2 linked regions of the Sus scrofa genome follow. Each later gene encodes a partner of the first gene's protein in a complex. Links are inferred from orthologs where the notes say so. Each region holds a gene or a part of one and is shown in the gene's direction. Other genes may lie near its edges.

Region 1 (4,202 bases):
CTTATCTCATGAAGGGAGGATGTCCTGATTAGTATTAATATCTCTTTCCTTATTTATGACTGTTGGTGATAAAGATGATTTATTATTCATATTTGTCTTTTTTTTTTTTTTTTTTTTTTGCTTTTTTAGGGCTGCACCCACTGCATATGGAAGTTCCCAGGCTAGGGGTCCAGTTGGAGCTTCAGCTGCTGGCCTAAGTCACAGCCACAGCAACGCAGGATCCGAGCCGCGTCTGACCTACAACCACAGCTCATGGCAACACAAGATTCCTGACCTACTGAGCGAGGCCAGGATTCAAACCCACATCCCCATGGATACTAGTTGATTCGTTTCTGCTGTGCCACAACGGGAACTCCCTCAGTCTTTTGATCAAGACATAATGTTTCCAGAAAAGCTCTGCATGATTTAGGTTAGTTATAAAGTGCCCTACTGTGTATAGCTTTTGAAAAAATTATTTTGATACAGCTGGACATTGAAGCAGCATTTCCTAGAAATGCACATTAGAGACTCTGTGTTCACTGGCAAGTCAGGATTTTTCACATTCCGTAGTCATTCATACTCAGTCACTTGGTTTGGTAGTCCCTTTACTCTGGTAGCCCAAATGGTCCAAGAAAATGTGACTAGGAATAGTTCGGCCTGAGTAGTTATGAGTTTGCAAGGCCAGGCAGGCTGACTGTAAAATTATTACCACAAGTCTATAAACCAGTCTTTCTCTGATTTCATTTAGATTGTTCCCAAATTCCACTGTTGGTGATAGTGGGGTCCCAGCACTGCCTTCTTTGACAATGCGTCGGATGCGAGAATCTGTTTCCCGGATGCCTGTTAGGTATTTTTTATCTACTGCTTTTCTTTTGGAAGGTTTTATTGGTGTGGGTGGGATTGAAAGCATGGATGCAAAAGACAGGAGTTTCCTTGCGTTCCTTCCGCCCTGTGTAAACCCTTTGCTGCTTCTGTGGACCCCAGTGTTGGTGTTAGAGCAAAACGTAGTTCTTTGTGGTCCTGTAGTTCTTGAATTCTGGAAAGTGACTGTGACTATAGTTTATTCTGTTATCCTAGCATGTCCCTTTGTTCTCATTACGTTTTAAAGAACTTGAGATTTTTGCCTTCCTCATTATGCATGTGCAGTGAGCCTCAGGGAAAGGGTCCCAAAACAGTAAATAGTGATTCAATAAAAGTAAAACTCTCAACTTTGAATTACTTATTGTAGGCTTACATTGCTAAAACCATGGTACCTAATAAACTGCTCTCTTTAAAAGCATCTAATTAGATGTTAGTATAATATCTATTTTATTTTTATTTATTTATGTGTCTTTTTAGGGCTAACCTGCGGCATATGGCGGTTCCCAGGTTAGGAGTCCAATGGGAGCTGCAGCCACTGGCCTACACCACAGCCACAGCAACACCATATCCAAGCCGCGCCTTCAACCTACACCATAACTCATGGCAATGCCAGATCCTTAACTCACTGATTGAGGCCAGGGATCAAACCCTCATGCTCATGGATCCCAGTTGGGTTCATTAACCACTGAGCCACAAAGGGAACTCCTAAAAGCTGTTTTAAGCTTTGAGTTAACATGTCTCAGTGTTACACATGAATTTGGAACCAAAAACAAATCTACGTCTTTATTCAAAGTATCTGACTTTATATATATTCATAATTTTTTTTTGGGGGGGGGTCTTTTTAGGGCTGCACCCGTGGCATATGGAAGTTCCCAGGCTAGGGGTTGAATTGGAGCTGAAGCCACCAGCCTACGCCACAGCAACATGGGATCTGAGCTGAGTCTGAGACCTATACCACAGCTTATGGCAACACCAGATCCTTAACCCACTGAGCGAGGCAAGGGTTCGAACCCACATCCTCATGGATGCTAGTCATGTTAACTAACTGCTGAGCCATGACAGGAACTCCATATTCATAAAACATTTAATGGCCTTTGTAAACCTATCATGAAATTTGTTAAAGGTAGCATATTTTAGAACAAAGAATCTGAATTGATAATCTAGATGTGTTTGTATATGACTTCTATTTTTCTTGATAATTTGAAAAGCAAGTCTGACTGAAAAACTGTAATTGTCAGTTCCCTGGTGGTCTTGTTAGTGGTCAGGACCTGGTGGTTTCACCACTGTGGCCCAGGTTCGCTGCCTGGTCTGGGAACTGAGATTCCTTATCATGCCGCTGCATAGTGTGGCCAAAAAAGAAAGGAACTGCTTGCTTTTGAAGATTTAGATACATTTAGATGGAAGAAACTGGGGTTCTGAGAGCATTAGTGTTGAATTGCCTGGAAAGGCAGTCTTTCAAGGAAGTAAAGCAGTTTCTTTTAGAAAAACCATCTTTTTGTCCCTTGAATTCATGCATGGTGCTGCTTGAATCTGAATAGAACTCAGAGTAATCTTTTGAGCAAATAATGAAAATCTTATACCTAATGCATGTTCCCAGTTTGGTTGGTGGGAGAGTGGTTTTGGGTAAAAGAGGCCAGTGATACATTTCACAGTTAGGTATTGAAACCTAAAAACTCAGCTCACGTTAATTGACTTTGTGAGCTGTTTATGGGGGAGAGGATTCACAGTGGATAAAATTCTGGCCTGTTTGTAGACATGCTTAGTAGGTCTGACCATCTGTTTAAAAAAAACTTCTTTAAAGTTTTCTAATTTGGTCTCATAATTAACCTGAATAAGTCCCAGCTAGCTTAGTAGAGGGTAGTATGGTTGGTAACTGTTAATCTCTCTCAGAGGTTGTCTAAAATTTAGAGTATTCTGTAGAGGTGGTTTATTAAATAGAAGAAAACTAATAATGTATCATTTCTTTTCACATGAATTCCAAGCATGTATATTTCCTTTTCTAAAATAAATGGTGCATATTGAAAAAAAGGAACATTTTTTTGTCAAAGGTTGTAGTTCAAGTAGGGTTTGTCCCAAGTATCTTAATGAAGTAGATACTCGAAAGACTGCCTGTACAGAAAGCTCAGTATCAGTCACGGAATTTTCTTTCTCCTTCTCTCTACTAGTTCCCAGCACAGATACTCCACACCCCATGCTTTCACATTCAACACCTCCAGCCCTTCCTCTGAAGGTTCCCTCTCCCAGCGGCAGAGGTCGACGTCCACACCCAATGTCCACATGGTCAGCACCACCCTGCCTGTGGACAGCAGGATGATTGAGGTAATGGGGCCCCTTGCGGGTGGTAAAGATTATCAGTCAGCTATTTGATTGGGGTTTACTGTTGTGTCAGAGAGTTCTGGGTTTTAAACCTGATAAGGAATGTTGTAGCACTTTCTCAAATTCCTGGACTTTTAAAATTTCTTTTCTTATTCATTACATCTTGAAATTGGTTTAATAATCTGGTTAGTGTATCAGTCGAGGGGAGAACTAAAATTTCAAATTGAATTCATTCTTTCCATATCAGATTAGAGTAGGATTTCAGTGAACTAGTGAATAAGGTCTATAAGGAGTAGTTTCTTTCTGGTTTGGAAAAGAAAATAATAGTGGTAGAGAGGTACAAACTCTCTGAAAGACTTTTAAGTGATTTTATTTAGAAATGAAAGGGTAGAGTTATAGGATTTTAGGTATTTAGGGAAATATAAAGGTGCCTAAAGCCTGGTGTTTTCAAACTGCTTTTTCTTTTCTTGGCTTTTTTTGTATGTTCTATTTGTTTGGTTTGCTTTCTAGTTCATCTTTAATAACAACTGAATACATAAAATACTTCCTTTGTTCTTTATTCTTCTTTATTTCTCATTGCTTTGGACTAGAATAACAGCCTGAATGCTTCTCCCAGGGCGTGGTCCAGACGATTTTGTTTGAGGGGAAGAGTAGGTATTTTTCTTCATGCCTTTGCTTTCTTTTAAATTAACAGGATTGCTAAGACTGTCAGACAGTAGACTATCAAAAATGAAACAATTACTAAACTTACTGTTTCTTGTCAGACTTGTTTTCATGTTTTCTTTCTTGGCAATAGCATAATTTAGGAGTAAACAAATATTGTATGTGATATTGCTGATAGGTGAAGTCAGTTTTCTCTGAGATTTTGAGGCCAAGGGTATGTATGTATGTATGTATGTATGTATGTATGTATGTATTGCTTTTTTAGGGCCATGGCCACAGCATATAAAAGTATCCAGGCTAGGAGTCCAATTGGAGCTACAGCTGCTGGCCTACACCACAGCAACAGCAATGCGGGATCTGAGCCATGTCTACAACCTATATCA
Region 2 (4,744 bases), on another chromosome or scaffold:
CCATGAACAGCCTCTCTGCTGACATCTGTGCTTCCCTGTTGTGTATTTTACACACATGAGCCATGGTAACTTTGAAAATTGTGAATCAGATGTGGTCATTCCTCTGCTCACCCTCCCATGGCTCTCTGCTGCTCTTGTGACAGCCCATGAGGCTCCACTGGACCTGACCTCTTCTTCCGCACCTCTCTCAGCCCAACTACTACTACTCTCTGGCTAGCTGATCACCCCAAGCCATTCTGGCCATTTGTTGTTCTTGCTACATGCTCGGCTGTTCCCAACTCTGAGCTTAAGGCCAGAGATTTTCTTTCAGCTTATAAGGTCTCCCCTATGCCTTCTCCCCTCCCACATATTTTCTAAGCCCACTCCTTCATATCATACACTATGGGCTCAAAGGTCTCCTCTGAGGGGCAATATCTGGCCATCTATAAAGTCACTCCATTCCTGGCTTTATTTTTCTTCACACCACTTATCACTTCCTGAACTTTTTTTTTTTTTTTTGGTTTTTTTTTGCCATTTCTTGGGCTGCTCCTGCGGCATATGGCGGTTCCCAGGCTAGGGGTCTAATCGGAGCTGTAGCCACCAGCCTACGCCAGAGCCACGCAACGTGGGATCCGAGCCGTGTCTGCAACCTACACCACAGGTCACGGCAACACCGGATCCTTAACCCACTTAGCAAGGCCAGGGACCGAACCCGCAACCTCATGGTTCCTAGTCGGATTCGTTAACCACTGCGCCACGACGGGAACTCCAAAAGAGATTTTTTTTTTTTTTTTTTTTAGTTTTTGGATTTTATAGAGCCGCAGATACATCGTATGGAAGTTCCCAGGCTGGGGGTCTAATTGGAGCTGTAGCTGCTGGCCTATGCCACAGCCACAGCAATGCCAGATCCCAGCCTTGTCTGTGACCTACCGCTCAGCTCATGGCAATGCCGCATCCTTAACCCACTGAGCGAGGCCAGGGATCGAACCTGCGTCCTCACCGTTACTAATCAGATTTGTTTCCCTGAACCAAGATGGGGACTCCACTTTCTGAAATTTTTGTTCTACTTGTTTGTTTCAGTCTCCTCTCTCCCACTAGAATGCAAGCTCTACGAGGGCCTTTACTTGCCAATGGCATTATTCCCTGTGCCTGTCACATATGAGATGTTCAATTAGTACTTATCAAAAGGTTGTATTCCGTCCAAAATTCTATTACTCCAGAATCTTCGGACTATTCCTCATTTCCTTTCCGCACCCAACCGCCCAAGGCAAAACCGTAACTCCCGCTCCTCTCCTCAGGTCATAACTCTCCCGGTTCGTAACTCTCGCATCCCTTCCTGCGCGGCCCCTTTAAGCGGACTCCGGAACGCCAAAAGGAAGGCGGGGCCGAAACCTTGCCGACGCCGACTCGGAGGGGCGGGGCGGGACTTGGGGGCGTGGCCTGCGTGCTGCGTGCGTGCGCGTTCTGGAGGCGCCGCCGCCGCTCTCGAGGCCGCTGCCGCCGCCGTCGCCGCGCAGAGCCGGAGCAGGAGCCACGGCCGAGTGGAGGGAGGAGGAGGAGGAGGAGGTGGAGGAGGCGCCGGACCGGGGGGGTGAGTGAGGGGCGGGGAGCCGGAGCCGGCCTCAGAAGGAGCGGGGGGCGCGGGTCGGCCGAGCCGGGGCTGAGGCGGCTCCTGTTGCCGGTCAGTCCCCTGGCTCCCCCTTCCTCCTCTGCGTTCCCTCGGTGTCCGGGGCGGCGGCCCGGGGCCTGGCCGGCGGGAGGGGCCAGGACTTGGGGAGGCCCGGCCGCCGCCGCCGGGGCCAGAGCCAACCACGCCCGCGGACCGAGCCGGTGGACTGTGGCTGGGCCTGCGGGAGAGGGACGGGAGGGGCCCGGGCCGGGTGTGGGAGAGAAAGAGGACATTGTGTCCCCCACCCTCCAACTCCCCGAGGTGTCATGGCACAAGCCTATTTCCCTCGCCATCTCCCCGGACACAGTGCCCTCGCCCCTCACTGCCCGAGGGAGGTAGAAGATTGGACATCGCTGCCTTTTTCTTCTTGCGTGTCCCCAGACTAGGGTCAGATCTTCCTTCAAACCCAGCTCACCCTTTGGGGGGCAAGCACAGAGGGGGTTGGAGGGTTGGGTGAATTTTCTGTTCCTCCCTCGTCTGCTGGAGAGGTGAGGGTAGACCGGAGCAGTGTCCTCTCTGTGTTCACTTGTCAGGGTTCGGGGTCCCCCGTTCCTTTATTCCCCCAGTGCGCAGGGCTGACATCTCTACGCCCCACTCCATTTCCCAGCCCCTTTCCCGCCCTCTTTGCCCAACGTCTTCCGTGGCATGCCATGTGTTCGCCTTTTCGGGCGTTGCTTTTCTTGGGTCTCTGCTTCTTTCCTGAATTTTATTAGTGCAGAGGTCACCGTGTGATTCTTGTCTTCCTTCAAACTGGGACTGGTAGGAGTGTCTTTTGCCCCCTGGTTCAGGAAGTTAAGGACAGCGTTTTCGGCTGAATTGTGTAACTTACTGCTGTGGGGAGAACTTGAGGGGAAGACACTTGTGCCTGAAAAGTGGAATCAGCTCACGGTGCTAAGAACCAGAGTTTAGGGGACCTTTTGACCTCTTGGAAAAAGAACTAGCGTCGAGGAGTTATGTATTCCTTTTGGGGAGGGAAAATGGTTTTGTCACTGCTTCGAAGGGAGGAAGGTAGAAGAAATGAAAGAGAATAACAGGGCAGGAGGTTAATGGGTCACAGCTGTACAGGTGGCCACAGTTTTCTGCTTCCTGGGTGTGAGATGATAATTCTTTCTGTTTTTAGCACAGTTAAGAGTGAAGTATCCGCTCTTAGTTTTAACGTGGGGCTCCTACCTTCAAAAGCATGCTGAAGGGCAGTCTCTAAAGGGATGCTGCTGGAAACAGGATTTGGAAACTTTATTTTGGTTTCCTGTCAGAGTGTGGGGGTGGGCATGCATGTGTGTAGTTTTTCTTCTCTTGTGATGTAATTGATAATCTGCACTATTTTGACATAATTGACACTAAATCAGGTTTCGAGCTTCTTTATTTTGATTTCTTGAACACTTACTTTCTGTTTTGAAATTGTATTTGCGTTAATTGAAATTCTTTTAGTCTGGTGTTTCAGTAAATCTTGTTTCCTCGGTATTTTGAATTATGTGCCACAAAATGTGATTAGGTGTAAGGTACTGAGGTTCATACAGTGCCTGGCACATGCTAGGCACTTGGTCTTTCTTGTTTGTTTGTTTTTGTGGCACTTGATATTTCTTGAATGAATTGAATGATTACAAAGATATGTCTAGGTATTTCCATATCTTCTATCCTTTTGAGAGGCAGCTCAAATTAGAATATGGCCTTTAGCTCCCAGTATATAAAATAGTAATTATTAACCTTTTCTGGGCTACTGACACCTTTGAGAATATAATGAAATGTGTAGATGCTCTCCTCAGGAAGGAGGTAATAGGCATTTTTGCACAAAATTTTGCATTCAGTTTCAGGGACCCTCTGAAGCCAACCATGGGTAGTTGTCTTAAAAGTAAACTGGAATCCCTGAGTATTCAGTTCCGTATTAAAACTGTTCAAAAGCCTTTGTTCATCTTCTGTTTGAGTTCAGGAATGACAAACCTACCCTTATAGACTAAATTTGGGTCTTTGGGAACAAGATTTAAGAGTGATTTTGTATTGCAATCTTATGGGGAAAAGTTCTCATTAATATAACTATTACCAGTAGTTTTTGAACTACTAATAATTTTAAACAAATGGCTTTGAAGGAAATTATTATAGTCACTTTTGGCAGCTTAAAATCATGATCATGACCGACTTATGATTTTTATTGTACAAACTCCTTTTTAGCAACATGATCCACACTTGAAAATGTTGACAGATGATTTTTCTCTTCTCTTCCAAGCTTGTTTATGTGCATGTTTTTTCATGTAGTTAACAACATTCAATATTAATTTAACACGTGCTTTTTTGAATGCCTATTATGTGAATAAAACAAAGTCCATGCTGTCACAGAGCTTTATTCTAATTAGGAGAGATGGGCCACAACCAAATAAATGTAGAATAAGTCAGGTGATAAGAGGTGTGCCGAAGAGTAAAGTAGGTTGAGGGGATGGAGGGGAACAGTGGCAAAGAAGGCAGTCAGGGAAGACATGAGGCTGGAGCACAGACCTGAAGGAAGTGAGAGATGTTTGCTGTCTTGGGGCAGAAGGTTACAGGCAGAGGGCTGTAAGTGCAAAGACCACTCAGTGTACTTGGCGTTTTGGAGAACACCTGGGCCGCCAGTCAGCAAGAGGGAAAGTGAGAGAGCTTGAGGTTTGGAGAAGTTGCCGAGGCCACTGTACAGCTTTGTAGGCCGTGGTCAGAACTTTGGATTTTACTTTGAATGAGATGGGAAACCACTAGAAGAGAGACCTGTTCTGACTTAACGTTTATGGGCATCATTCCGGCTGCTGTGTGGAAATCAGCTTGGGGGATGGGGCAAGAGTGGAAGCAGGAAGACCAAATAGGAGGTTAATAATCTTCATTTTAAACCCTTTTCAGTGGTTGCAAAATATTCCATCTACCTGCTGTTGGGCATATTTCCCCCTATTGAAAATAACAATGAACACTTTGTGTATGCAGCATTTTCTTTCTTTTTGAATATTTCCTTGGAATTGATTTCCAGAAGAAGCACTGTTGAATCAAAGTATATAAATATGCTTGTCTTCTTGGTATATCTATTCCTACAGAGAGTGGGTTGTACTAGTTAAAGTGACAGCCACAGTTGTTGATCTTAAG

The links. Proteins that work in one complex are often made in the same cells at the same time.
Region 2: the proteins of RAF1 (region 1) and RAP1A are in contact, whole or in part, in a crystal structure (PDB 3KUC), measured with the Homo sapiens proteins. The link is inferred for Sus scrofa from reciprocal best matches to the Homo sapiens genes RAF1 and RAP1A. Residues at the interface, in NP_001341619.1 of Homo sapiens: Thr57, Arg59, Asn64, Lys65, Gln66, Arg67, Thr68, Val69, Val70, Lys84, Lys87, Val88, Arg89, Gly90; in NP_001010935.1 of Homo sapiens: Val21, Gln25, Ile27, Val29, Asp33, Pro34, Ile36, Glu37, Asp38, Ser39, Tyr40, Arg41.

Annotation. Positions count from the first base shown.
Region 1 is NC_010455.5:68,598,584-68,602,785, reverse strand, and holds part of RAF1 (RAF proto-oncogene serine/threonine-protein kinase), read left to right. Parts: intron 1-727; coding exon 728-826; intron 827-3,005; coding exon 3,006-3,159; intron 3,160-3,746; coding exon 3,747-3,806; intron 3,807-4,202. UniProt on the Homo sapiens protein: Serine/threonine-protein kinase that acts as a regulatory link between the membrane-associated Ras GTPases and the MAPK/ERK cascade, and this critical regulatory link functions as a switch determining cell fate decisions including proliferation, differentiation, apoptosis, survival and oncogenic transformation.
Region 2 is NC_010446.5:108,747,659-108,752,402, reverse strand, and holds the start of RAP1A (ras-related protein Rap-1A), read left to right. Parts: upstream 1-1,450; 5' UTR 1,451-1,570; intron 1,571-1,641; exon of another isoform or gene 1,642-1,660; intron 1,661-2,364; exon of another isoform or gene 2,365-2,407; intron 2,408-4,744. UniProt on the Homo sapiens protein: Counteracts the mitogenic function of Ras, at least partly because it can interact with Ras GAPs and RAF in a competitive manner. Together with ITGB1BP1, regulates KRIT1 localization to microtubules and membranes.